Linked DNA regions of Pelodiscus sinensis. The protein of the gene in region 2 binds, or shares a complex with, the protein of the main gene of each other region. Links are inferred from orthologs where the notes say so. Each region holds a gene or a part of one and is shown on either strand. Other genes may lie near its edges. The genes, in order: ESPN and MYO3B.

Region 1 (14,910 bases), on a different chromosome or scaffold from region 2:
CCCACAGAGCCGGAGACACAGGGCTGGGCGTGCGGGGGGGTGTGCTGGGGAGGCCCGCTCCCTGGCCATCACCTTCAGCTGCCCGGAGCCAGACACAGCACAAAGCCCCTTCTGAAGGGCATCAGAGCAGGAGAGCGACAGATGTGCAGCCAGCTGTGCTCTACCTTCCCAGCTCTGCCAGGCTGATCTCTTCCATCCAGGCGCAGATTTTTTCCATGAATGTGCAGAATCAATTTTGTTATGTGCACTGAGATGTGCAGACGTGCACCACTGATACAAACAAACCCAGGCTGTGGGCGCGCTGCTAATCAGCTGGGCAGCATTTGACTCTCCTGAGCAACCACACGCGCGTGAGCAGCTTACAGGGAGCTCTGCTCACTGGTCTATTTGCATGCGAACAAGCTACTCCCTGGAATGAGAGATGGAACCAGGGCTTCAGAACAGCCCAGCCGCAGGTCTGGGACCTTCGCCCTCGGCAGGGAAACTTCAAACCCAAAACGAGCCAGACAGCTGGGGGGGGGGGGGGGGGGGGGGGGGGGGGAGAATCTGTGCCTAGCGCCAGGCCTGCTTGGAGCCCAAAGGAGACTCACATCCGAGAATAAGGTCGGACGCTCAGAGCTGAAGCCCCATCACTACGCACAGCCAGGGCCCCCGGCGCTGGCCTTGCTCCAGCATTGCAGCCTGTTAATTCTTCCCTCTTTGCATGGGGTGACTCAGCTCCCAACGGGCAACAACTTGGGCCGTCTGGGGAGCCGTGCACCACTCGGGCGCTCTGGGGAGCCGTGCACCACTCGGGCGCTCTGGGGAGCCATCTGGGGAGCCGTGCACCACTCGGGCGCTCTGGGGAGCCGTCTGGGGAGCCGTGCACCACTCGGGCGCTCTGGGGAGCCGTCTGGGGAGCCGTGCACCACTCGGGCGCTCTGGGGAGCCGTCTGGGGAGCCGTGCACCACTCGGGCGCTCTGGGGAGCCGTGCACCACTCGGGCGCTCTGGGGAGCCATCTGGGGAGCCGTGCACCACTCGGGCGCTCTGGGGAGCCGTCTGGGGAGCCGTGCACCACTCGGGCGCTCTGGGGAGCCGTGCACCACTCGGGCGCTCTGGGGAGCCATCTGGGGAGCCGTGCACCACTCGGGCGCTCTGGGGAGCCGTCTGGGGAGCCGTGCACCACTCGGGCGCTCTGGGGAGCCGTGCACCACTCGGGCGCTCTGGGGAGCCGTGCACCACTCGGGCGCTCTGGGGAGCCGTCTGGGGAGCCGTGAACCACTCGGGCGCTCTGGGGAGCCGTCTGGGGAGCTGTCGGGGCAGCCAGAGCGCCCCTGCGAGCAGTGAAAGGGGCCGAGGAGAGCGGCGAGGAGAGCAGCGACCCGTCAGGCTCACCGACTTATCCATCTTAGGCAACAAGAAACCTTTTCCATCGCCATGTGCTCACACTGCCTGGCCTGGCCCTGGCCCTCCAGCTCTGCCCTGTACAAGCTCCCCCAGCCCCTCCCGGACGGCTCACGGCAACCCAACCTCACCAGAACCGAGCGGGCAGGCCGGAATGGGCTCTCCCCGCCACGCTGCACCACCCGGCACTGCTGCCACGTCAGGTGACGATTGCAAGTCTCGTGATACTGGGTGTTTGAAGGACCCAGCTGCAAGAGTCAGGTGATTTATTCGGGGGAGGGGTCTGCGCTTTCATTAACAGGCAGGAAGCTTCTAGCCCAGGTGGCTGGGAGCGAAACTTGGCCGCGAGCCCTGAGCGCACCATAAGGCCAGACGACCCCGCCCGTGCGACTCCCTCCGAGGGGCGGGATGTTGAAGCTGGCCTCGTGAGCGCCAGAGCCCGACGCACGACTCCCGAATGCAGGGAGTTGGCAATTGCACGCTCAGCCTCTCGTGCCGAGACACGCGCGGGGCCGTCGCCACCCGCTGCAAAACCTCCCTGCGAACACGGCGGGGCTCTTGGACACCCAGCGACAGGCCGGCCCGAGGAGCCTGCAGCCTGGGACGGCCTGGGCAAGCCACTGGCACGTATCACCTCTCACCAGAGGGCACCCGTGGGAGCTTGCGCCTGTCACCCCCTAGCTACAGCCCCGGCTCGGACAATTCACCGATTGTTTCTCCTGGGCACTGGCCTGCCCCCGCCGGGCCCCGCGCCAGGGGAGCTGGCATGTTCCCCGCAGCCAGAGCGGAGAGCAATGCTGAGCTGGCTGCCGGGCAGGCGGTCGCCTGGTTACGCACAGCCCCGTGTGGGTCACAGCGCTCCCGACACCGTGGAGCAAACAGCAAATGGAATTCAGCCAAGATAGCGCCTCGTGGGGCTGACCTGCCCCCTGCTTCCTCATCTCCCCTGCTGCCCACAGCTGTGTCGCAACAGCCCACGTCTGCACCGCTCAAGCTGCAGCAGCGGCTCAGCCTTTCGGTGCCTGCTCCGACCGCGGCCCCGGGGAACGACCCATCGACGGAACGCAGCGGCCGGGCTCCCCGACAGCACGAGCCCCTTGGCACGGCCCCATGGGCATCTCAGCCCTGCGGCCACCCCCTGCGGCAGTCAGCAGGGCGCTTGCCCTTGGCGTCAGCAATGTCTGGGCCACCCGGAAACACCGCACCCAGCCTTGGGGCGGTTTCATCGGATCCCCGAACGCTGACGGCAGCCACCCACTGATTAGCAGGGTGCCCACAGTCAGTGTTCCTGCTGGTGGTGCCCCTCCGCACCTGCCTCAGTGCACACAACAAAATTCACTCTGCACATGAATGGAAAAAATGGTCTGACTCCATGAACCCGCTGCCGAGCTCGGTCCCATCTACCGGCAGGAGCCCTGGGCACTGACAACGGGACGGGCTGAGTACAAACTAGGTTGAGTGCCACTGAATTGCCACGTCCGCGCCCCATCACCCGTGTGCAGTGCGAGGGCTCGGGGGCCAGTGGGCTGCAGGGAGGGAATTTCAGGGGTCACAGCATCAGTGAGGTGTCCGGTGGCACTCCCAGGAGCGGCACTAGGGCGTCTGCCATGGCCCAGCACACCAGCCTCGTAACTCAGGGCAGACGTCTGGAGGGGCAGGGCACGTCCCGCTGGATCCGGCCCCGAGGGAGCTCTGCACCCAGTGCGGGGATGTGACTCCTCACTCACGTCCTCTCGCTCTGCACCCCCTGCCCGCTGTGACACCGGCCTGCCACACTCCTCGCCCCCAGGGAACCTGCCCGGCCGGGAGGGACCCGGGATCAGCAGCAGGAGATGGGAGAAAGGCCAGGTGAGCAGGGGGCCTTTGGCCCAAGTCACTGCTTCTCCTCAGCCCACAGGCAACTGGCAACAGCTGGCTGAGCCCGTTACGCTTGGCCCAGCCTGGCTGCCCAGAACCCTGGGAAAGCTCCGAGCCGCCTCAGCGATCCCAGCTGCGCTGCAGAAACCAACCCCCGGGGCCTGGCTTCCAAAGCGGCCACTGCCAATGCCACCACGAGTCGTCCTGTCCAGAGACACAAGCACGGCCAGGCGGGGTCAGACCCAGGGTCCTGGCTGCCCAGTGCCCAGTGCCCCAGAGACAGTGAACAGAGCAAGGACTCATCCAGTGACCCTGCCCCTGTTGCCATTCCCAGCTGTGACAAACAGAGGCCAGGAACACCACCCTACCCACCCTGGCGAATAGCCATTGATGGATCTAACCTCCAGGAATCTAGCTAGTGCTTCTTTTGGACCCTGTTAAAGTCTTGGGCTTCACAACATCCTCTGGCAAGGAGTTCCACAGGTTGACTGTGTGTTTTGTACTTCCTTTTGTTTGTCTCAAACCTGCCACCTATTCATTACATTGAGTAACTCTTGTGTTATGGGAAGGAGTAAATAACATTGCCTGGAACGGGGTCGGCACTCACCTCCCACAAGACCCCCCTTTTTGGCTGCATACGCTTTCCTGCACTGCCTCAGTTTTAAAAGCCTTGTGGCTACTCAGCCCTCTGGCCAAGCCGCTCTCCCTTGTGCACAGTCACAAACCACTTCCAGGGTGCCCCTCTAACAGGGGCCCATCCCAGTGCCCTCTGCAGGGTCTTGAGTCCAGCACAGGCTCTCAGTCTGCTTCCCCACTCACGAGGAGAGCGGTGCCCCCAGAGTCTTATTATCAGTGGGAATAGGCCAATGGAGGGATGATAGGAGTTACTCTAGAGAACTTTCTGGGGGTCTGGCTGGTGAGTCTCGCCCACATGCTCAGGGTTTAGCTGATCGCCATACTTGGGGTCGGGAAGGAATTTTCCTCCAGGGTAGATTGGCAGAGGCCCTGGAGGTTTTTCGCCTTCCTCTGTAGCATGGGGCACAGATCACAGCTGGAGGATTCTCTGCATCTTGGGGCCTTCAAAGTATTTGAAGGCTTCAATATCTGAGATCTAGTGAGAGGGTTATTCTAGGAGGGGTGGGAGAGATTCTGTGGCCTGCACTGTGCAGGGGGTCAGACTAGATGATCATAATGGTCCCTTCTGACCTTGAAGTCTGTGAGCTTTCCCTCCTCGAGGCAATGTCCTAAACAGCTCCCCACTCTGAGCCATCCTTGGTTCCACCAGCCTTCAGGTCTGGGCTGCCCTGAGTCTTGCAGCTTCTTATATAGTCCCTCTGGCTCCTGATTGGCTGGGTGCTCCACAGCCACTCTAGCCTGCTGGGAGGACTTCTCTATGGCCTTAGGGCTTGATTCACCCTGTCTTCATTCCTTATTTACTCTTTCCACACCAGCCATACCTTTCTAGGCCTCTATCTTATCCCCCCTTAGTCTTTCCCAAGCTGAAAAGTCCCAGTCTTATTAGTGATAGAAATGTAGCCGTGTTAGTCTGGTGTAGCTGAAACAAAATACAGGACTATGTAGCACTTTAAAGACTAACAAGATGGTTTATTAGATGATGAGCTTTCGTGGGCCAGACCCACTTCCTCAGATCAAATAGTGGAAGAAAATTGTCACAACCATATATACCAAAGCTTCCCCAATTATCACCTCTAATATCATTAGCTCACAGACATTTACCTCCCCCCCCCCATCCCCTTTCTGTTCTGAAATTTGATTTGTCCTTTTCATATGTGTTCATTTTTTAATTGTATCCCTTGGTATATATGATCTTAGACACTCACACACACAGACATGCACACACAATCATAGACACACACAGACACACTTAGACACACACACAGAGACACACATGCACACACGCACACACAGTCATAGACACACACGCTCACCACTAGCCCAGCCAGCCATGCAAGGGCAGCCGCAAGCCGGGAGGGGCCTGCTCCTGTGACTCCCCTTTGGTGACATTCCCCGTCTTCGGCCACCCCGGGGGCCATGAGTGCCCGGCGGCGACGGGTGCCCAGTGCCACTGCCCTGCTGCCAGCCCAGCGGGCGGTGCCCGGCCCTGGAGCGCGGCTTCCCTGCCTTCCCGCAGGGCACAGCACAGCCCCTGCCGCTGCCCGCAGCCAGCGAGCCCGACCTGGCCAGGGGAGAGCCCCCGGTGCCCACCAGCCAGTGCCACCCCTGCAGGCCGGGCGCAGGCACCAGGGCACTGGGGGCAGCCCAGCCCCTGGCTCCAGGCGGGTCCGGCTCGGTTACAGCTGGGTCCGTGGCTCTGGGTCCCCCCCTCCCCGCGCCCCTGAGCCCCGCCCTGCGCCCCCCGGTGCCCCAGAGCCAGGGAGGGGCTGAGCCCGGGGAGGGCGGAGGGGCCGCGCGAGGTGCCCACCTGGACGCTGCAGCCGCCCTGGGTGAGCAGCCACTGGAGACAGGCCAGGCTGCCGGTGGCCGCCGCGTCGTGGCCCGGGGTGGCCCCGTTGCGGGCCCGGCTGTTGCCCCGCTGCGCCGCTTCCTCCACCAGGTAGCGCAGGCAGTTGAGTTTGCCGGCCCGGGAGGCGTGGTGAGCGGGCGAGGCGCCCAGCGCGTCCCGCAGCCCCGGCTGCAGCAGCCCCTCCGCCTGCAGCGACTTGAGGGTGTCCACGTCCCCCTGGCGGGCGGCCAGCAGGGCCCGCTCCAGGGCCATCGCCGCGACCGGCCCCTCACCAGCCCGGGGGCGCCATGGGACGGCCCGCCGCGCCGAGCCTCTGGAGCGCGCCGCGCTGCCGGGAGGGCGAGCCCGGGCCAGGAGCTGCCGGCCGGGCACTGCCAGACCTGTGCGCTGCGCCCCGGGACCCTTCCTGCGCTGCGCCCCGGGACCCTTCCTGCGCTGCGCCCCGGGACCCTTCCTGCGCTGCGCCCCGGGATCCTTCCTGCGCTGCGCCCCGGGTCTCCTCCTGCGCTGCGCCCCGGGACCCTTCCTGCGCTGCGCCCCGGGATCCTTCCTGCGCTGCGCCCCGGGACCCTTCCTGCGCTGCGCCCCGGGATCCTTCCTGCGCTGCGCCCCGGGACCTTTCCTGCGCTGCGCCCCGGGTCTCCTCCTGCGCTGCGCCCCGGGTCTCCTCCTGCGCCGGGATCCTTCCTGCGCTGCGCCCCGGGATCCTTCCTGCGCTGCGCCCCGGGACCTTTCCTGCGCTGCGCCCCGGGACCCTTCCTGCGCTGCGCCCCGGGTCTCCTCCTGCGCTGCGCCCCCGGGACCCTTCCTGCGCTGCGCCCCGGGACTCTTCCTGCGCTGCGGCCGAGGAACTGTCCGTGGTGTCTCGTGCCCAGGGACTGTGCCTGGGGTCTCCCGCCCCGCCACCCCTCGCTCCGGCTGTCAGGCTGGCTGGGGCTCCCGGGCACTACCGCGGCGCACAGCGCAGCATGGCCCCTGCTCTTGGCACGTCCCGTCCCCCCGGGTCAGACTCTCCTGCGGCTCCTCAGCCCTCCCTGCCTCCGGCCTCGGGGAACTGCAGCCAGGCGGCGGCAGGAGCGCGCAGCGATCTCACCCCGAGGGCGGCTCCTCCTTCCCTCCGCCCTGTCTGGGGAATGGCAGGAGCCGCGGGGGAGCGTCCCCCTCCCCCGGCGCTCAGCCCAGGCCAGGAAGGGGTTAAACCCTCTAGGCTGGCCCGGGCGCTTGGCTGAGTCCCTGGAGCCCCGGCAGCAGCAGGGCTGGCAGGCGCTGAGCCAGGGGACGTGCCCAGGGCCGAGCAGGCGTTGGAGGGGCCTGACAATGGGTTGGGAGCCCTGCTGACCGCATCACTCAGAGCAGGGGGAACCCCGCAGCCTGGCAGGGCAGCCCTGTCCTGCCTGCCCGACCTCCCTGCTCCGGGCCAGGCCCGAGGCGAGTCCTGCCCGCCCTGCCACTGGGCGCTGGTGGCAGCATGTGCCTGGGTCTGGCCTGTGCCTAGGGGTGCCAGGACCGCCCCCCCCCCAACTCAGCCCCGGGACTGTGCCTGGCTGGAGAGGAAGGCAGGGGCGTTTGCCACAAGCGCAGTCCCATCGCCACCTCCCCGGTACACTGCCTGGGCCTGCTCCCGCCATTTGGGGGGGAGCTGTGATGGGGGAAGTGAGAGCGTGGGGGGGGGGCAGACTGAGGGACAGCAGCTGCAGCGGTGTTACTAAGCATGCTCAGTACAAGCCAAGCACCTAGTGGGGGCAGGGGGGTCACCAATTCCTTCCGCCCTCCCCGCGCACACAGCGTGTCTGCCCAGGGCTGCCAAGGCACCGAGAAACTCTGGGTTTGGCAGACAGTTAGCGGTCAGCTGGCAGGAGCACTGGGCCTAATTCCTAGCTAACAGACAGACAATGGAATAACTGTCGGACCCCTCAGCTCGGACACTCACATGTTCTGACACCTTGCGGCACCTCCCTGACGGACGCGGGTTACCGGGATGTCTGGGCTTAGTTACTAACTGCAGGGGGGGGGGGCTAGTGGGCTACAGCAGGGGCAGGTCCATTTCAGCTCCATATAAGAAACCCAGAATGGCCAGACTGGGTCAGACCAAAGGCCCATTAGCTCAGTGTCCTGTCTGCTGCCATGGGCGAATGCCGGGTGTGTCAGGAGGAATAAACAGGGAATCAACAAGTGACTCACCCCGTGGCCCATTCCCAGCTCCTGGCAACATGAAGCTAGGGGCTCCATCCCCGCTCAGTCTGGGTTGTGGCCATGGATGGACCGATCCTCCTTGAACTTATTTTGTTCTTATTGGAACTCTGTTAGAGTTTGGGCCTTTCCACCGTCTCCTGGCAAGGAGTTCCACAAGTCGACTGTGGAAAACTAATTTATTTTGTTTGTTTTACATCTGCTGCCCATAAATTGAATTCTTGTGTTCTGTTAGTGAAGGAATGAATTACATTTCCTTATTCCAATTTTCCACACCGTTCCTGATTTTCTAGACTGCCAACATATCCCCAGTGGTCCTTCTAGCCCTATATCCTGCTGCTGACAGTAGCCAACGCCAGGTGCATCAGAAGGAATAAACAAAGGAGGCAATCATCACGATCCATCCCCTGTCACTTATTTTGTTTGTTTTAAATCTGCTACCTATACACATCATTGGGTCAGCTTCCTGTGTTGTTAGCGAAGGGCTGAACGACATTCCCTCATTCTATTTTCCCACACCGTTCCTGGTTGTCCAGACCTCTATCATAGCCCCCACCCTTTAACCATTTCTTTTCCAAGCTGAACAGTCCCAGTCTCGTTAATCTCTCCTCAGATGGAAGCTGTTCCTACCCCTCGTCATCTCTGTTGCCCTGTCTGTACCTTTTCCAAATTCAGTAGATCTTTTTGTAGATGAGGTGACCAGATCTGCAAACAGTGTTCAAGATGCGGGCATAACCATGATTTTATAGAGAGGCAATAGGCTATTTTGCCTTATTATTTATTCCTTTCCTAATGAGTTCCATTATTCCGTTAGCTTTTTAGTTTTCAAATGGCCACTGCACATTGAGCAGATGTTTTCAAGGAAATATCCACAAGGATTCCAGATCGCTTTCTTGGGTGGGAACAGCTATTGTAGACCCAGCGTTGTATCTATGGTGAGGGTTATATTGTCCCATGTGCATCACTTTGCACTTCTCGCCCCTGAATTCCATCTGCCCTTGTGTTGCCCAGTCACCCAGCTTTGGGAGATCCCTTTGGGACTCTGCGGTCAGCTTTGGAGTAGTCACTGGTCACCCTTTTTCAGGAACATTTGTGAGACATTTAACAGCCGGGATCCAAATGCAGATCCCTGCAGCACAACACTCATTCCTACACTCCCCCTGTCTTTTAAGTGGAGGCCCCGGCTTTGTTTTCATGGAGATCTAAGGATCCTTCAGTTACCTGAATAACCAGCCTTTTGTTGTTCTTAATCCCCCTCCCCTTTGATAACAAACTCCCTGCTCCAAAGGCAAAGCTGCAGCAGCCCAAACTAGCATTTGAGAGCTGCCTCTGGAGTCAGGGTGTGGGCTTTGGGCAGACCCCAAGCCTGAAATCCAGGGGTTCAAACTCGGGAGGGGGGTCACTGCCCCCCACCCTCTCCAAATGATGCCCCTGAAGGACTGGTACGAGGCTGGCGGTTCTGCGACCATCTGGTGGCTGCTGCCCTGCGAGCGCTGTTCAGGGCCTGTCCCAAAGGCCGAGCAGAGACGCGCGGGCCAGGTGATCGGTGGGTTACAGCAGCACCCAGAGGCCTCGCCCAGGAGCTGGGCCCTGGGGCAGGAGGGGGCACTCCCACAGGAGCAGGTGGGGGGCGCCGGCTAGTGCTCCTTCCCTCTCCCGGCTGCTCTCGCACTGGAGACCCGGCCAAACGGAGCAGCTGGACCAGAAAAACAGGCTTGCGACATGAACCAATCTCATCATTGTGGCATGAGGGCAATATCACGAGGTTCAGCGACACGAGGGAAACGTGATCTCCAGGCCAGGGGGCACTCTCCCTCGGCTGTGCATGTCACGGGCACAGTGGTGGCCTAGGTGGTCGTCTAGGGCACCAAGATAAATGGCCATTGAAGGCTTTGGAGGCGGGGCGCCGATCGCATGTTTCGCCTAGGGCGCCCGTTGCCGGCAGCTCGTCTAGGGCCGCTCCTGCACGGGCACTCCCGCCTCAAGTCACTGCCGGCTGCTCGGCAGGGCCCCCTGCTTAGGAGCAGGGCACAAAGCTCCAATAGCTGAGTCCTGGACCTCGTTCCACCAGCCAACGCACACGTGTCAACCCCTCCCAGGCAGGGAGTCAGGGACAGACCCTTCGGTGCCTCCGGTCCACCGCCCCACCCAAGCGAGCTCACAGTCCTAGTCAGTTTCCAGTTTAGTCCCAGTCCCAAAGGACCAGCCACTTACGTGTGGTTCGATTTGTTTTGGATCCGAGGGAAACCAGGACACTCCAGAGAGACGTAACCACTTCCTTACTTATTGCAAGCTTTGAGCAGTTCATACAGGTGTTAAGTTTTACAAGCCTTAAGAACAACGACTGTACAATTTAAACCTTAGTACTATCCATCGTAAGCAATGAGTACAGCACAAAACAATACAAAAGCAATGTAAGAAATCTTCTATTAACTACAGTTCACTTACATGTCACCCGTATGCCACCTACGGTACCAGGCAGGAGGTTCGTGGGCCCTTTGACTCTCATTCTTCGGGGCACCGGGCACTGCCGTAGCCGCGTGAAGGGTCTTTTACTTCTAGTTACAATGCACAGGACCTGTGGGTCAGCCCTGCTCCCTCCCTGCCTCCCATCGACTCTTCTTCCTGAGACTATTTTCTAGCAGAGCGAGACTTGACCGTTCTAGTGCTAGCTACCAATTGATGACGTGTCGTGTAAATCCCTACAATGCCCAATGCGGGGGACATCCTGCTACTGAGGATCTTGCGAAACGATGTGCATGGTTAATAGTTTTACAGCTGTACCCTGAATTTTTGCTTTTCGGAAATAGACTGTACCAGTACGAGGCTCCTCCCGATGGCCCTGGCGTGGTCTCACTGCACCCTGCTGTATCTGCCTGATTGTGCAAAAACCCATTCCCACCTCTCCAAGCGTCCCCCGGAGCCTGGCCTGCGTCCTTTTGTGCACCAGACTTGAGACAGGCCTGGCTTGCTTTGGTAGAGACCCGCACTGTGGGGCTCCCCTTCACTTACCCCCGGCCATTTCCTCCTGGACCTTATCCAGAGACAACACGTGTCACCAGTCCTGCAAGGAACTAGAGTAGGGAAAGGAAACGGGTTATTTTTTTTTTACACACACACACACACACACACACACACACACACACACACACACACACACACACACTCTCTCTCTCTCTCTCTCTCTCTCTCTCTCTCTCTCTAAACAGCACTAGTGGCCTCTCTAAGCAGCAAGCTCTCCATGGCATTTAGGGCTGTCCCAGGCTGAACGGGGTGGGGTGGGGTGGGGAGGGTCTCTTGCCTCTTCCTGGACCCTTGTCCCCCAGTGTTCGGGCGACAGGGAGCCATGGCTCCTTGGTAGGGATTTTTAACCCCCGGAGCTGCAGGGCCAGCTGATGGGAGACGTGCTTGCATGGTTCATCTCACAGGGCAGGGCAAACGTCTCCTGGGCTCTGTCCACCTGCCGTGCATGGAGCGTTCCCACTGGGCAGGTTAGCACGTCCCACGATGTCTCTCCCGTCTGCCGGGTTTCACAGAACAGCAGCTTGGCGAGGCCCTTCCCGCGTGGGACAGCTGTTAGTGAGATTAGCGCCGGCAGCCGCTCAGCACCAAACAGTCTGCCCAGCCTGACACCTGCTTGCATGAGCCTGCCCCACAGGTGAGCAGGGTGGTTCTAGGGCAGGGCTGCCTGGAGGCCCAGAGCCCTGGCAAAGGTAGGAGCCGAACACATCACAGGTCCAGACCTGGGCAAAGGAGTCCCAGACGCACTCTCCAGAGGCCACGGCACCGGGTACTCGGGGCGACGGAGCCTTTGCTGTTAATCTGAGAGGGGAGGAGGGGCGATCACACCCTGGCGTCGCCGCAGCGTTTGCTCAGAGGGAGAGAGAGGGAGAAATCCCCTTTGCCCCCAGCCCCTGGACTGTTCCGTCATGTACTCGAGACATCCCGGTTCCCGTCCCCCTCTCTGCCCTCGCCAGGCCCGTCCTGCGCGCTCCAGGCCCTGCTCTCTGGCCCGGCTCTCCAGCCCCGCTCTCTCGCTCGGGTCAGGAGCAGCCTTGGACTGGTCATTACAGTTTGCGCCTGAGTTTGGGTCTCAGCACCACCGTGCGGAGCGCAGGGCCCAGCGGGCAGTAACCGAGCTGGGACGACTCCCTGCTCTCGCCGCGCAGGTGTGTGCGCCGGCTGGAGCGCGCTGGGTAATCGCACCGAGCCAGGGCTGCCGAGAGCCCGGCAAATACCCAGCCCCAAGCAGCAGGCGAGGGGGGAGGGTCAGATACCGCGGTGATGGGCCCTGCACAGGACCCTGGCAAGACTAGAATGCACAGTGCCCCTTGGAGGGACGGGCGTGCTGCTGGAGCAGGCGCGGGGAGGAGGGTTACTGCTGCTCTGGGCACTGCCCAGCGCTGCGGACCCCAGGCCGATAGGAGAGGTTGCTGCATTGCCCTGCACTCACCAGCCCTCCTCGGCCTGGAGGCCTCCCCAGCCGGGGGCCCAAGGGCACAGGCCGGAAGCCAAGCGCGCGTTACCTGCCAGCAGTCGGTGCAGAGCGTGGCGACGGTGCTGGCCACGGCAAAGGCCCCGCAGAGGACGGCCAGGAGGGTCCCGGCGCTGCCCGGGGTCTGGCCGAGGGACGGCAGCGCCGATGCCCTGCTCCGGCCCGGCTGCGGCACTGCGGAGGGTGAATCTGAGCCAGGCCTGGCAGAGCCCAGCGGCGAGGCCGGACCTCCTGGGCCCTTCCCCGGGAGCCTGCAGGCCCTCGCTGGACTTCGCTCGGCAGCCTGGGAGAGCCTCTTGCCATTGGCTCGGGTCCCGCAGCGGAGCTCAGGGCAGCCCCTGGCAGGGCGGGAATGTCGCCGGAGCGAAGGGGGCCGGCCGAGCGCGGGGCCCCGCTGGGCAAGCCTCGGCCAGGAGCCCCTGACATTGGCGCTCAGGCCCTGGCCATTGCCTCCCCCTTTCCTTCCCAAGCTCAGAGCCAGACCCTGTGGCTGCCCCCGCGGGGCCAGGGAAACAGGCTTTCCCCCAGCCGGCCCTGGCTCGCTTGTACGTGCCAGAGGAAGGTTCCCGAGCAGACCCCCTGCCAGGCCGGAGCAGCCAAGGTCTGCTGAGAGCCACCCCTGCCCGACAGACCAGCCCCTGGAACCGCGTCAGGGCAGGGGCCCGGCCACATGCACCGTCCCGCGGCCACAGGATTTAAAACTGGCAAATGTCACATTTCCAGCTGTTTGCCCTTGAAATGTCACCGCGCTGGCACCTGGGCCCTGCCCGGGGGCGTCACAAGCCTGTTGGGGGGCCACGGGATCGCCATGCTCACGCTGAGCTGCCGGACGGGAGCCATCACAGAGCTTCCTGCAGCCGCGGGGGGGGGGGGGGTGCAAGAGGGAGCGGTGGGTCTGGGCTGGTCCCCCCTCCCCCCACCGGAGCAGTTTGCGGGGAGGGGGCGGGTCCTGCCCTGCCCCTGCCCAGTGGGAGGCAGGAAGCCCCCTTGGAAGGGGCGCTCCTAGGAGCAAGGGGACATGCGATTTGTGGGGGAGGCTGGGCAGGGCCCCGATCCTGCCATTCCACCCTTCCCCCACTAGATGGTGCTGCCCACCCAGCACCTGAAAGCTCAGCCCCCCCCCCCCACAGAGCCCGAGGCCCCGGGGTGCCCGGGGGGTCCGAGGTGACACAGCTCAGGGGGCTCCAGTGCAGGTGCTGAGTGGAGCCAGGGCAGCGAGCACCGTCCTGAGCCAGGCAGAACCAGCCTCCTGCCCCATGCTCTGCCCCGCACACCTGGGCGCCACTGGCCAGCTGTCCGTCCGGCCGTCCCTCCTGCCCCCACCCCCAGAGCGAGAGCCCCTCCCGGCACCAGCACGTCCCTCCTGCCCCCGTGTGGCCTCGGCACTTCCCCTGGGCTGGCAGAGACCTGGCGCTTGGACCCGGGGCGTCGCCTGGGCTGGTGGTGCCGGGTGGAAAGGCCCTTTGCTCTCACGCTCACCTGCCCTCCCGCCCCGCGCCGGAGAGCGCCCCTGAAAGCGCCGGCACAGGAGTGAATCCGGGCACGGAGGCCCCCGGCGAGCTCCTTGTCTCCCCGCCCAGCGCCCAGCTCAGCACGGCGGGCGAGAGCCCAGACCCCTGCTGGTGTCACGTGGCCTCTGCCATCGCTGCACCTCGCCCTCCAGCAGGGCTCCCGCAGGCAGGGCGTGAACCCGGGGCCAGAAGGCCCCAGCTGAGTGGGTGGGCAATGGGGGGGCAGTAAGCCCCAGACCCCGCCCCCGGCCAGAGCCCCAGCGGGCAGAGGCAGTTCCCCATCCCCCGCTGGAGTGCCAGGCAGCAGCGTGCTGCAGCTCTGGCAAAATGGGGTCAGCCCCCCGCCCCCCCAACTGGCATACGGGTGTGCCCGGCAGCGGGTCCCCAGCACCAGCAGCACCAGGGCAGGGGGGGTCTGGTTGGAAAGCGGGTGGCCGCGGCCAGACCTGGGCTCCACCCCCACCCCTACCCCCTCCCAGCACACAAGCCAGGCTGCAGCCCTGAGGTACAGGAATCTGTGGCAGGCAGCGTCTCGCGGCCTTTTCCTTCCTGCCAGGGGCCAGCAGGGCCTCGCTCAGGGCTGCACATCCCATCTGGCCCCCTCGGCCGCCCTGAGCCTGGCGCCCGGGCGTGTAACTGCACATCCCATCTGACCCCCTCAGCCACCCTGAGCCCAGCGCCCGGGCGTGTAACTGCACATCCCATCTGAACCCCTCGGCCGCCCTGAGCCTAGCGCCCGGGCGTGTAACTGCACATCCCATCTGACCCCCTCGGCCGCCCTGAGCCTAGCGCCCGGGCGTGTAACTGCACATCCCATCTGACCCCCTCAACCACCCTGAGCCCAGCGCCCGGGCGTGTAACTGCACATCCCATCTGACCCCCTCAGCCACCCTGAGCCTAGCGCCCGGGCGTGTAACTGCACATCCCATCTGGCCCCCTCGGCCGCCCTGAGCCTGGCGCCCGGGCGTGTAACTGCACATCCCATCT
Region 2 (14,558 bases):
GAATGACTGTTTGCCTTCAAGTAAGAAAATGATTATGGAACCCATTCTATGTTTCTAAAGGCAGAACAAAGTACCCTGTGTATCAATAAAGTGCTACCACCATGCCTCCACCTCTGGGGCTTGTTAATGAATTAACACTAAATGTATTTTTGACAGGTGGATCTGCAAACACCTCCCATAGCCAGACTGATGAGAATACTGAGAACACTGAGACCCACTATTTGCTCGTTCTGTTTGTTCACTTCTAAAAGGGAGCACTGCACCCTAAAAATTTGTTTTAATTAAGTTTTAAGATTATCTAAATATCTTACCTCAAGAACTAGCCAGAGCTGTCCTCCCACGTATTGATCCGCTTTGTAATACATTCCATAAAACTTAACAACATTGGGATGATTGGGAAGAAACTGTAAAATATTATATTCTGCTTCAATTTCCTCATCCACGTCCTAAATGGAAAATGCAAACAAATGTGATGTATGCATATATAATAATTCAGTATAATACATATACTATATAGTTTAGAGCGTTTGTGTATCTGTCTGTCTGTCTGTGTGTCGGTCTGTCCATCCATTTGTTCAAAAACTCCTCCTAAATAGTAAGAAAAAGGGACATCAAATTTGGCCCTTGTCTAACTTAAGGCAAAGTCAGGTTTTGGTTGTGCCAAGACAATGCAATGTGCCTGGAATTCAACTATTTCTCATGAAATGCAAAGGGCGGGGTTTGGTAGGAGGCAGTTATACTTTAGAATGACCACACAGGAGCAGCAAGGGGGCCAGAAATAAGAATCAGGACAGCTGTAACCCCATCAGTCCAGCAGGGGGCAAGGGCAGAGAAAGGGACAAATATCTACTATATATTTCAGAGAGTTTGTCTGTCTGTCTATGTGTCTGTCTATTTCACAGCTAGGGAACATGCACCTCTCCCCTGTGCTGTGCCCGCTAAAGCTGCAGTGTCTAGGGACAGGAGCTTCTCACTTGGCCCCAAACTACTGAGGTTTTCAGGTACCAGGTTTTCCTATCTCCCTGAGGCAGACTGCATATTGAACCCCTCATCCCCACCCCACTTGCCCCCCTGAACAATTATTTGAACAATGGTAGGTTGTGGAATCTCCATCACTGGAGATATTTCAGAGCAGATGGAATAGACATCTGTCAGGGATGATTTAGATGGTACTTGGTCCTGCACTGAGGGCAGGGGACTGGACTTGACAATCTCTCAAGGTCCCTGGCAGTTCTAGTATTCTAGGATTCTATGATTTAAATTAAGAAAAACAAAATGTATTTGAGTTAAGGATGTGAGCAACACCAGGTAAATCTTGTAGCAAGTAAATATTAAAGGATAAAAAGAAACACCTATACATTATGTTATACTGTTAAATGTCTTGTCATGCACTGAAAACAGTCTAATCAAATTACAAAATCTGGTCAAAATCCATCACACCACAATTGTCTTATTACAAATAAAAGTGTGAACTCCATGTGTAGTCAGGAGTTTTGCCTCAAGGGTACTCTTAATGCATAATACACTGCTACCACAAAAAGTTGGCTCACTTGTCTAAATGGAAAATTTGCATATATATCTTTTCTAATCTGTTTCTTAAATTGGCATTTCTGATAGATGAGCTAATGTAAACACATGGATCTTAGCTTCATTTTTTCTTTTTAAAGTAATTAGATGAATCCGTTTACATAGCAGTTCTAAAATACATTAAATGGGTCATGAATATAAATAAATACATCTTTAAAACAGGAGACATTTATACAAACTAAAGCACACAGTAAAAAATATAGGAACTATTAAACAGAGTAAAAATCAAAATCCACAAAATAAGCACATAGTACCAATTATTTGTCTAAAGATGATTTTTGTGAAGATGAAATAACAAAGGGCCAACTATACTGAACAATAAGCCCTTCATGAGCCCTAGTTCAGCAAATCACTTAAGCACATGCTTAAAGTGTATTCCTATTCAGCACAGACTTTGACTTTAACAGGACTTGAGCACATGATTCAAAGTTAAGCATGTGCTTAAGTAATTTGCTGGATAGAGATAGTTTGCTGTATCAAAACCCTGATGTATTACTCCTTTAATCTCATACTAGAGGGCTGCGCCTCCTGCCTGCCCCCCCCCCCCCCCCCCCGTCCACCACAACTGGATTGTGGCCTTTCCTCCTACCCATGTCGCCACAGGAGATGGGCCATCGCCAGCCCTTCCTGCAGCCAGATGGGGGCTAGACTACTGGGCCTGCCCCAGGTTTAAGACTAGAAACAGGATGCTGAGGCCAGATGGGGGCTGAGCCCCAAATGAGGCCTTGCAGGCCAAGCTTCATTTAAAATAAAGTAAAAATATTATGTTCAAAAAACAGGTTTCAACATTGTCTTTATTTATGGCGGGGGGGAAACCTTTTTTGGGTTGGGGGCCACTGACTTACAGAAAAATCAGTCAGAGACCACACAAGTAAAAAGGGAGGAAAAAGCCCCTCCAAAACCCTCCAGCCCTCATGGATGTGGCCCCCAACCAAAACACCTCACTCCTCTGGTGTCCCAGCCCCATGGTGGGGAGAGGAAGGACTGAGGTTCAAGGCCTCAAGCCAAATTAACTCTTCTGGGGTTCCAGGGTTAGTGGATTTTGGGTCCCCCTAGGCTCAGGGTGGGGCCAAAAATGAGGGGTTCAGTGTGCATGACAGGGATGCCAGTGCGTGGGATAGGTGCAGCCAGGATATGGGCAGAGGTAGATGCAGGAGGGGTTGAGGTCTGGGTGGGAGGTAGGATGCAGGAGCAAGCTGGGAGTAGGGTGTCTGGCCAGTGGGAGAGGGAGGGTGGAGAGACTGTCCAGGAGGGATGTCTGGCTAAGGGGGAGGTACAGGAGCTGGCCAACCCCTTTCTGTCTACCACAGCAGGCTCATGCCCCCTCCTCCTACCCCCTGCTGCAGCAGGAGGGGGGCTGTTACCAGTCCTTCCTGCGGCCAGATGGGGGCTGAGCACAGGGCCTGTCCCAGGATCAGGGTTGGGAACAGGTCACTGTGGCCAGATAGGGGTTGGGCCCTGATTAGGCAGGGTATCTGGCCAGGGGGAGGGGACAGGAGCAGGGGAGGGTACAGGACTAGGCTGGGGGTGGGATGTCTGGGTGGGAGGAGTTTTTAACATCTGTTCATAGGATTGGCCACCAGAATAACTAATAATCAGGTACCAGGTTCTTAATTGACTGAAATGTCCTGCCATTGGTGACTCAGGGTGCAACCGTAGCACCTGATCTTGGGAATTGGATAGTGGTCATCCACTGAACAGTGTGGACCCCACAGACAAATTGGAACTATTTAAAGAGAAAGTGAAGGCTTTCTGTTCCCCTTCATAGTACTCATTCTTGCAGGCATTGGTCTTCTCTTCATAGACTCAGGATAGTACATAACCATAAAGTCAAACTGAGAGAGGAAAAGGGCCCAGTGAATTTTACATTAATGGAATCGTTGTGTTCCCTGTAAATGCTCCAAATTCTTGCGATCTGTCCTGACGTGGACAAGGACATAGGCCCCCTCAAGGAGGTAGTACAATTCCTCAAAAGCAGACTGGATGACCAGGATCTCCTTGCCCCATACATCATCTCTCACCAGGAGAGAGTTTCCAAGAGAAGGCAGCATAGGGATGAAGCAACTGGTTCGAGGACCACACCTATTGCAAAGTCCAAGGCATTGGTCTTAACTATGAATGCCTTTGTAGGCTCTGGATAGGTTAAAATAGGGGACAGAAAATAAAAAAACTTTTTCAAGTCATCGAAAGTTGCCTGCATGTTAGGGGATCAGGTGAACTTTCTGAGGAGGGATTTTATAAAGGCTACCAGGTCAACAAGTCCTTGGACGAACTGCTGGTACAAATTTATAAATCCAAGAAATCATTGCATTCTTCATATATTCAAGGGGGCCTTCCACTTGTTATGGCTGCAACCTTGTGAGGGTCCATGGCAAGTCCTGCTGGAGAAATGACACAGCCCAGAAACTCCTTGTCAAATTCACATTTAGGTGTTCAGAGGCTGGCAGGGCTGGCGAGGACCGGTAAGGAAAGGAGCCAGGGTTAGAAGGGAAGCAAGTCTGACACAGGTTTGGGTGCTGCTGGTGCCACCAGGTTTCAGTATGGATCAGTTGGCTCTTCCATCCAATCAGGGAGAACAGTCACTTAATGAAGGCTTACTGGACGCAATTGAGCACATCGGGTTGCTAGGCGACTGCAGGCAGCTGAATTCCTGACAGTATTCCTCAGTTCCTGTCTTAACTATTGTGCGCGGTCGCTGTGCATTGATAAAAAACTGCTGCTTTCTATTCTACAGTTGGAAGCACTTCAGTGGTGGGTGCAGGTTGTCCATAATAGAGTTTGTTTAGATTTTACAGTGATGTGAGATCCTTCATGATGAACAGCACTGTATGAATGTAAGATTTGACCATAAGTGTCTTGGAAATGCCACTGTACAGTCTGATCATGTTCATGTTCCAGCTGCTGCAATCCTGCAGACCTAAAATCTGTACTAGTGAATTACTCAGGTGTGCTGCCAGAAATCAAAGTCAGCATGAATGCTGATTCTGAATAGCATATAAGACTCTGTAAGGGGCAGCTCTTCACCAGGAGCTAAATAACTTTCACTCCCATTGGCATCTGAATAGAAAGTGCTCAGGACTAGAGTTGGCTGAAAAACAGAAAACAAGGTGCAATTTCCAAGTGACTGTTTGGGTCAATCAAATTCAGGCCTCTCATTATTCTTGTTGTGACATTTAGGGGTTGCCTGTTCATCATATGAACACATATTTGTACGTGAACAAGCATATTCCCTACTTAGTTACCATCCGTTGAGTGTCATTTGCATTTTGATATTCTGCTGTGTGAGAAGTTTCAGTCACCCAATATGGGAACAGACTGCCATGTGACTTAAATAAACAATGAGAATAGTTTGAGTCAATCGTTTTCTAACATCTCATTGGCTGAAATTTGCATAAAACCAATAATGAGTATTTGTGAATTACAACTAACCACAAATTCTATCAAGTCATCAGGGCCACCAATGGGCGGGGATGGAGGGTAAGGGGGGAGTTGCCCCAGGGCCAGAGGGTGGTGTCTGGTGATTTAAAAGGACACATGGCTCAAATCCCTTTAAATTGCCGCCGGAGCTCCATGCAGAGCGGGTCATGTGGCCCCTTCTGCTAGAGGCTGGGTCTGGAGCCAACCCCTCCACACACACATTGCCTCAGAGCTCAACAAAATCTATTGTCAGCCCTGCAAGCCATGAATGATTCACAAATACAGAAAAGGCAAAAATAATTATTCTAAAGAGATCATTGAGTCTGCTCTGAACAGATTTAGCACTTCGTAGGACTGTGTGCTAAATCATACAAGAGTCTTACAAAGGGGTCCTTATGAAGCTGGATTCAGGGTTGAAACATTTTTTTCCCCTTCTAAATCAAGTAACCCATGATTCAAAAAATGATTCAACCCTGCTCATAATTTGTTTAACATTTCCCTCCAGGACGTTTTCAGTTTGCCTAAACTCTGAGTCAGAGCATCAAGCCTATTTGAGAGTAAAACCTTTTAATTTGAACAATGACATTATGATTAAAATGGGATTATAATCTTTTACTTACACTGATAGGATCCAGAATTTTTACAGCTGCCAGACTCCCATCTTCCTTATTGGCAACCTTATAGACTTTACCATACGTGCCTTTTCCAATGGTCTCTATAATTTCCCAAGTATCTGAGGGATCAGCTAATGATGCCAGTCTAATCATATTGGGATTACATTGAAATAATCCATATAGCGGTGTCCTGGAAAACAAAGTTTGTTGTGAAAAATGATTGTACATTTTTGAATGTTGTGGGATTTCTTTCAACTGTTTCTTATTCATTTATTTACAGGCAGTCCCCGAGTTACGCGGATCCGACTTATGTCGGATCCGCACTTACGAACGGGGCTCTCTCGCCCCGGAGCTCGCAGGCAGTGGGACCGCCCAGAGCGCAGCGGTCCCGCCACCTCGACCTCCGGGGCGAGAAAAGCTGCTCCGGGTGCCCCGGTCTGCTGGGGACCGTCTCCAGCAGACCAGTGACACACGGAACAAAGCTGGGGAGGCGGAGGGGTCCCGTGCCTCTGAGGCTTTGCTCTGGCAAAGCCTCAGAGGCGCGGGACTCCGCCGCTGCTGCAGCTTTGCTCCGGGTGTCCCTGGTCTGCTGGGGACCGTCTCCAGCAGACCAGGGACACCTGGAGCAAAGCCGGGGAGGCCGAGGCGCGGCACCCCGCTGCTGTGGCTTTGCTCCCCGTGTCCCTGGTCTGCTGGGGGAGGGGGACCCCGCTAGTGCCCTCCCCCCCAGCAGACCAGGGAGATGTGGAGCAAAGCCCCGGGCCTGTGGTAGAGCAGGTAGGGCGCTGCCGGTTGGTCCCGCAGCACAGCTCCTTGGCGCTACTGGACTAACCCAGCAGCACCCCAGCTGCTCTGCCCCAGGCGTCCCCAAGTCAGCCGCTGCTGAAACTGACCAGTGGCTGACTACAGGAAGCCCCAGCCCCGGGCTTCTTGGAATCAGCCGCTGATCAGTTTCAGCAGCAGCTGACTTGGGGATGCCTGGGGTTCTTAAGTTGAATCTGTATGTAAGTCAGAACTGGCGTCCAGATTCAGCCACGGTTGAAACTGATCAGTTTCAGCAACGGCTGAATCTGGATGCCAGTTCCGACTTACATACAGATTCAACTTAAGAACAAACCTACAGTCCCTATCTTGTACGTAACCCGGGGACTGCCTGTATTGAACTGGGTGAGGGGCATGCAGAATATGGCATTAGCTGCTCACACACAACAGCAAGTGAGAGTTATAAGATCAAGAATACATATTCCTGCGCATCCAGAAATATAATTTATGCTATCATGTGCCGAAACTGTCTGTCTGCTATGTACATTGGACAAACGTCTCAGACACTTCGCCAAAGGATCAATGCCCACAAAACAGATATTAGACAGGATCACAAAGAAAAAACAGTTTCTTACCATTTCAACCAGAAAGGACACTGTCTCAACGACCTAATTACCTGCATCCTACTCCAGAAGACTTTCAAATCTGCACTTGAAAGGGAATCCTCTGAACTGTCATTCATGCTAAAATTCGACACTCTCCACGGGGGGCTCAACGAAGACACCAACTACCTTACCCATTACAAAGATAGCTTCCCCAATTATCACCTCTAATACCATTAGCTCACAGACATTTACCTTTCCCCACCTCTAATATCATTAACTCACAGACATTTACCTCCTCCTCCCCCCCCCCCCCCCCCCCCGCATCCTCCTTCTGTTCTGAAATGTGATTTGTCCTTTTCATATGTGTTCATTTTTTTTAATTGTGTCCTTTGGTATATATGGTTGTGACTATTTTCTTCCACTATTTGATCTGAGGAAGTGGGTCTGGCCCATGAAAGCTCATCATCTAATAAACCATCTTATTAGTCTTTAAAGTGCTACATAGTCCTGTATTTTGTTTCAGCTACACCAGACTAACACGGCTACATTTCTATCACACAACAGCAGAAATTGAGGGACCTATTCTCTGTGAATTTATTGAGTTATTTTTTGATCCCCATTATAACTCGCCTTCATAACATTCTCTGGAAAAGAGTCCTCCCCCTTAATCATCTCTTTTTGAAACTGAAAAGTGCCAGCCTTTTTAATCTCTCCTCATATTGAATGTGTTCAGCACTCCTAATAATTTCTGTTGCCCTTCTCTGTAACTTTTCCAAATCTAGTATCTTTTTGTTGAGAAGGGATGACCAAAATTGCGCAAAGTATTAAATATCTGGCCATACCTTGGATTTACATAGAGGCAATATGATAATTTCTATCTTATTCTCAATCCTTATCCTAATGAGTCCCAATATTCTATTAGGTTTTTAAAATTACCACTACACAGGGAGCAGGTATTTTCAGACAACTATCCACAAGGACTCCAAGATCACTTTATTGATGGGTTCACCTAATTTATACCCCATCATTTTGTATGTGTAGTTGAGATTATGTTTTCCCATGTGCATTACTTTGCATTTATCAACACTGAACTCCATCTGCCATTGTGTTGCCTAGTCCCCCAATTTTGTGAGACAAAGGCCCCCAGAATAACCAGTAGATAGGAAAGTTTTTGGATGTGAGAAATCCCAGACCATGTCCCTGAACTGAATCAGTCCATGTAGGGATCTGGTCCCGAGGCTCTTACTCACCAGGTTAGGGAGTCAATTTGTGTTTCTGGCTCAATGAGTATTTATACAAAGCGGAGTAGTTCCAAGAGGAGAGTATGGCATTGTCTGAAGTGAGGGTTCTAGGCCTTTGAAATTGATTGTTCTATGCAAGTGGCCAGAGGTCACATTGGAACTCATAGCTGAACTTATAGTTTTCGTGTTCAGGCCACTTGGAGCTTCCCAGGTCCAGAGCCCTGGAAATGCTGTTTTTTTAAAACCAAAACCACTTGTGGGAGAAGAATGGTTGTTACAAATTTCCCGCTTAAACAAAAACAATAAAAAAATGTTTTTAACATTTTTGAAAGACCCTCTCCCTCACACACTTTCAGAATTTTTCCTAAAGAAAGTTCTCATTTTTTGGACTTGATACAACATTGTTTTGAAATTTAAGTTAATGGATACTTAACAAAAAAAAATTCTATACATTCATTTACAATGAATCCCCTCATAGAAGGTCTCTCAACTCCAGAATGCTTTGCTTTCCTGAAATCCATCCCAGACATAAGCAAGGGATCTTCAGATGGCTGCTAAATATCTTGCTAGAGGATTAACCTTTGTAGTGGGCCCTTTTATACAACATCTCTCTGGGCAAGGTCTGATCCAGTCTAATAATCATCATTATCATAGTATTAATGACTATGGCGCTGCACCAGTGCTCACTGGGAGTCTCTCTCTCAACTTCTTTGGCTTCACTGGATTTTGAATCAGATTCATGAAAGAGGAACCATTTTATCTTCTACTGAAATGCAGCTACCTCTGAGGCAGAGGGTAACAGTTGTGCAGTATTAAAATGAGCTCCAGAAAACCTGCTGAGGGCAGGTATTTAAGAAAGCATCCTATATTCAAACAGTGGTTTGGGTAGGCAGCCAAGTTCTGTCTAAGATGCATCGCTGCTCCCTAACAAATCCCGCATAGGAGTTCGGGGTGGGTGCCCTGCTGGGGCTGGGGGCACATCTACCTCTCAGGTCTGTGCTAGAGCCAGGGATGGGGGTGCCTTCTCTTCCCCTTGACCAGGGCAGCTCCCCCTGCCATCAGCCATGGCAGGTCCATGATGGGGCTGGGGAAGGGGTATTCCCTTTCCCCAGACATGGCAGCTTGGTGCTCCAGGGGAGGATCTCTCCCGCAGCCATGGCACCCAACACAGATCTGTCCCAGCGCTCCGGCTGCTGGGGAATAGGCATCCTTTCTATGGCTTCCAAGCAGTCTAGCCTGGAGGACAGGTGCCCCGTGCCCCTCCTCCAGCTGTACTTGCTGGAGCTGCAGATGCCCATGGAGAGGGGCTTCTCACCTGGCCCCAAGTTGCTGCAAGGAGAGGGCTGCGGTTAGTCCTCTCTCCTCAGGGTAACCTACACTCCAACCCCCTCATCCTCAGCCCAGCAATCAAAACCTCTGACCCAGACCTGAGCTCCTCCTGCAGCTCAAAACATTGGTGCCACCCCTGTCCACACAGTCTGCATGTAGAATGACTTTTGTTCTGACACATCCCCTCCATATTGGTGCACACAAAGAAAATCATTCCACACATGGACTCAGAAAATTAGAGGGAACAGTGGTAAGCAGGTTATAAGCTTTGTATACTGGCCTTTGGCCAGGGACTAGGATTTTGGAGCACCAGGGGAGACAGCAGCATCATTTTCTCTCTGTACCAAAAAACTGTATCTCTCCTGCAGCTCCCGCTGGGACACGGATTCTGAACCAATTCCAAAAGAAGCCCTTCCCACTAACCCATCGACACTACGCACAGCACTTCCTTTTCTTTACAGGTCTCTTAGCCAAGCACCAGCCAACCCTGGCGCTGCTTGTCTTGTGAAATATCACAACAGCACACTACTCTGAGGGTGCAGGCAACACATAAGAGCAAATCTTACTCATGTACAGGCAATGAAATGTTATAGGCCCTGATTCTGCAAACTAGTCTGCACAGGCAGACTCCGTAGCCTGTGCAGAGCAGCATCCAAGCCACAGTCATAGAGTTTAATGCCAGAAGGGACCAAAAGGTCATCTATTCAGACTTCCTGTACAGAACAGGTCACCAACCAGCAACTGGCCCCCCACAAACTCAACCCAACAACCTACACTAGCCCAAAGCCAATGGGGTTCGCCCAGGCAGAGCAAACTGCAGGATCAGGGTCTTAAAAATATTGCCATCATGAACATTTTAAAATACGTTCTCCGGCCCAATAACTTGCAGTTGAGCTACAGCATGTTTAAAAGATTTCCCTTCAACTTGTTTCTCAGAAACTGAACATTCAGGCTGCGTCTACACTATGGAGTTTTTTCTGGAATACCTCTGGTATCCTGGAAAAACTTCGCCACATCCTGGGAATGCGTCTGCTCTTCCGAAATTTTTTTCGGAAGAGCAGACGCACTCTTTAGGAAGCCCTGTAAACCTTGTTTCAGAAGGAAGAAAGGATCTTCTGAAAGAGGAGGTTTTTCTGAAATTTGGCCTAGTGTAGCTGGGTCAAATTTCAGAAAAGCCTCTTCAGAAAAAAGAATCGGAAAAAGGAATGCAAATTGCAGAGTGCAATTTGCATACCTTTTTCTGAAAAAGAAGTGTAGTGTAGACATAGCCTCAGATAATTTGTTATTGTCAATGAAGCCCATAGGCTTCTGGCTTTTTTAATATATTTCAGTGATTAATGTGTTCAGCTAATTAAGGAGAGACTCTCCAGTCAAATGCACAGAAAGTTGAACATGTTTAGGTCACAGCATCCTTAAAGTCTAAATCTTTCCTGTGTAACTTACACTAATCAGCTCTGACGTCTTTCAAAGTTGTTTGGCGCAAGACACAAGAACCTGTCTATGGGGCTCAGGGCTCTTCTGGTCTTTGTGCCCTCTTTCAGAACTAGCACATCAGGCCCAAGTCACAGGTGTTGCCTGGAGATGCTCCCAGATATACAAGGGCTGCATGTTGCAAGTACACTTCCTACCCCCTTTGTCAACATGAGTCTGATCCGACTGATTTCATAGCAGTTGTGATATTTAACATCTTGTTTACATAAATGAAAGACAGAATATTCAGAAATGTGAAGTGATTTGGAGGTGAGAGTTAACTCAATGCACCTTGCGACAGTGCTGAGACAGGGACCTGACCTTTAGAGTCAGGCCTCTGTACTCAGTCTCAAACTGATGCACCTAAAGTCAACAATCAGCCTTGAAGATTTAGGCCCCAAATTCAGGTTAACAGTGCCCCAGCAATAGACAGATGAAGTGCGAAAAAAAAAGCAGTACTGAAATGGAAGAAATTCTTTTAATACCTATCATGGCCTGAGAATTTGCAGCTACCTTTGCTTTTGGTTTTTTTACAATGGGAACACTCAGAAACAAGCCTCCCAAACCTCTTTTCCTCCTGGGAAATTTTATCTCTGTATAAATTACTGCAGGATCTTTCTCAGGATCATTATTTAACTCCCAGATGTCCACTGTCAGTTGGGGTCAGAATAATATGACGTGGCACCAACTGCATGTTAGGACTTTATGATTTATGACCCTTTTCAAAACTTGGGTCATGTCCTCAGTCACCTACTCATTACAATAACCCTGCAGACACTTCATGACTTTTACTGTAGAACATAATAGAAAATGAAGAAAGGACATAACAGCATAGTAAATATCATACAGTATCTAGAGAAGATAATTGGGTACTTCTTTCACCCACTGCCATAATTCAATGACATGGCGATGTTCAAGGGCTTGGAATGGTAGCTGATTTAAAACCAGTAAAAAAATAAATCCCATTTTTTCTAACCTAACACAATGGTCCTATGGAACTCATTGCCACAAGGTATCATTGGGCCCCAGATCTTAGGAACATTCAGAAAAGGATTGGACCTTTATATAGAGAAAGCGCAATTCTAGAGTGGCACAAGGAAGGATTAAAATGATCAACCAAAAGTTTGGAAGGGATTAGAAACCCTCAGATTTCAGAATGTAATCTGACCTCTGATGGGGGTCAGGAAGAGTGTTCCCTGTGGATGGATTATGCCACAGTTGTCCACTGTAGTATTTGTTGCACCTTCCTCTGCAGCAGCTGGTGCTAGCCACTGTTAGGGACAAGACAATGGCTAAATGGACCCTGATCTGATCCAGGCTGGCAAATCTGATGTTCCTAAATTAGGCAGCTAAATCCACACAAAGGTGCCCAATTTAAAGAGATGCAGAGCACCTATAGCTTGCAAGGAAACAGGAATTAAAGTGACCAAACATGCTCAAGAAGAACTTCAGTCAACACCATGAAACATCTGTGTACATACAGCAGAACATAGCCCAGTGAGAGCCCCAACCCAAACCACCCGACACACCAGGAACCAGGGGTGCAGGAAAAATTTGTGTAGTGGGAGTGCTAAGAGCCACTGAACAAAACTGTAAACCATGTGCTAGAAACCACTTCAAGCCGGGGGTGCTACTGCTCCCGTAGATCCCATAGTTCCTGGCTTATGACAGAAACAATGCACCATATCCAGTAAATTAGCTCCTGTGGCAACTCCCTTTAGGATAGGTAAAACAAGAAGATGCTCATTAGCAACACCCTCCTCTAAGCACTATGAAGTTTGGACACAGTGGGTACGTCTAGACTACAGGCTTCTGTCGACAGAAGTTTTGTCGACAGATACTGTCGACAAAACTTCTGTCGACAAAGCGCGTCCAGACTACATTGAGTTCTGTCGACAAAGCAAGCTGCTTTTGTCGACATGGTAGTCTGGACGCAAAGGACAGTTTCCATTCAATAACACCTTCTGTCGACAGAAACTCTGTCGACAGAAGGTGTTATTCCTCGTAAAATGAGGTTTACATACGTCGACAAAACTGCTGAGTTCTGTCGACGTTATGTCGACAGAACTCAGCGGTAGTGTGGACGCAGGTATAGTTTTGTCGACAAAAGTCCACTTTTGTCGACAAAACTCTGTAGTCTAGACACACCCAGTAACTAGTAAAGAAACCTGTCACTTACCCAGGAGCAAAAATATTGTGTCTCCATCCCAATTGGATCAGCCAGAAGTGGCTTAAAAGTTACCACCTATTTCCAAAATACACATAAATTATAGTTAAAACATATGAATGTATATACCTTCCTAGCAACTCTTATTTCCCGCCAGCTGCTCCCTCCTCAATTTCATTGAATAGCAGAATTGAAACAGTCTCCAAAAGATGCTATATCAGTGTAAAATTCTTCATCCTGAGTACAGCCAATCTCAAGCGCACCACCATCATGAGCCAAATAAAAAAATCAAGAGGCTGGCTTCAAATAATGAGATTAAAGATAGATTAAACAGATAGATACATTTTGAGTCTTTTTATGTGTCTTCGCTTTCTGGGCCTTGAGGACAAACTCAGATCATGTTTTCAGCCTTTTCTCTGTAAACCCGAGGACCTGAAACACTTTCTACATGAAAGCTGAGGGTGTATTTGAAAAGCAGAACAAGCCCAGTGGCTGGAAGGTGAAACTGGACAAATATGTATTAAAAATAAGGCACAAATATTTCATAGTGAGGATGCTTCATCATTGGAACATACTCCCTTCCTTCACCAAGGAGCAAGGGGGAGTATGTCAGGGGAACGGGGTTGATGTCACTTGGGAGGCCCTCACAAAGAGGCGGGGATGGAATTGCCCTGAGTCTGATCCCCTGCAGAAGTGTCTTAGGCCATCTTTCAGGACATCTACTGAGACCAGGGGTGCCTTTTCAAATTTTGGTAGGAGGGAGACCTGTGAATGCAGTGCTGGGGAGGGGGGCGGGAGGGAGAATGAAAGCATGTGGAGGGACTAGGGTTATAAAAGAGTAGTCAAATAATCTACTACTCACGTTCCCTCCCACCACAGGTAGCAAGGGGGGAGAAGCAGGAACCAATGCTGGAGGAGTCAGCTTAAAAGCCTGTTCCCCCAAGCACTGTCTTTGCGGTGCGAGGGAGGGGGTGGGGGGGGAAAGGAGAGGCAACAAGGGAGGTAGAGGTGTAGCAGGCTCTGCCTTTTAGATGTAATTTTTAAATGTACATTTAAAAGGCAGAGGTGCAGCGTGGGACCCGGCACAAGCTGGGATTGCTTTAGTCCCAGCTCGCACCAGGTCCAGAGCACTGCAGCTCTGCCTTTTAAATGTAGTACTACTCCCACTGTGGCTCTGCAGTTTAAATGTAGAAGGAGCTGGTCTCCCTGCACACCCGTCTCCTACTGCATTTAAACTGCAGTGCCACAGTGGCCCCTTATCAACTAATGTTTTCATTATGATCTAACAATCCTTCAATTACTTGAATGATCCGTCTTTTGTTATTTTTAATCACCATCTCCCTCTTTTTATAAAAACTCCCTGTCC

What was found.
Region 1: the proteins of MYO3B (region 2) and ESPN are in contact, whole or in part, in a crystal structure (PDB 5ET1), measured with the Mus musculus proteins. The link is inferred for Pelodiscus sinensis from reciprocal best matches to the Homo sapiens genes MYO3B and ESPN. Residues at the interface, in XP_017174528.1 of Mus musculus: Arg1223, Arg1224, Gln1226, Gln1227, Pro1228, Lys1229, Met1230, Leu1231, Ser1232, Ser1233, Asp1236, Thr1237, Met1238, Tyr1239, Tyr1240, Asn1241, Gln1242, Leu1243; in NP_997570.1 of Mus musculus: Leu35, Ala37, His41, Arg45, Ala67, Asn69, Ala71, His75, Asp76, Ala79, Thr80, Asp101, Ser103, Leu110, Arg113, Phe114, Thr135, Thr137, Ala139, His143, Tyr144, Ala147, Thr169, Asn171, Tyr177, Leu178, Gln181, Ala203, Asp205, Met207.

Annotation. Positions count from the first base shown.
Region 1 is NC_134733.1:24,167,225-24,182,134, reverse strand, and holds the start of ESPN (espin), read right to left. Parts: upstream 6,219-14,910; 5' UTR 5,980-6,218; coding exon 5,686-5,979; intron 1-5,685. UniProt on the Homo sapiens protein: Multifunctional actin-bundling protein. Plays a major role in regulating the organization, dimension, dynamics and signaling capacities of the actin filament-rich microvilli in the mechanosensory and chemosensory cells.
Region 2 is NC_134717.1:40,283,706-40,298,263, reverse strand, and holds the start of MYO3B (myosin-IIIb), read right to left. Parts: upstream 6,072-14,558; 5' UTR 5,889-6,071; coding exon 5,625-5,888; intron 447-5,624; coding exon 312-446; intron 1-311.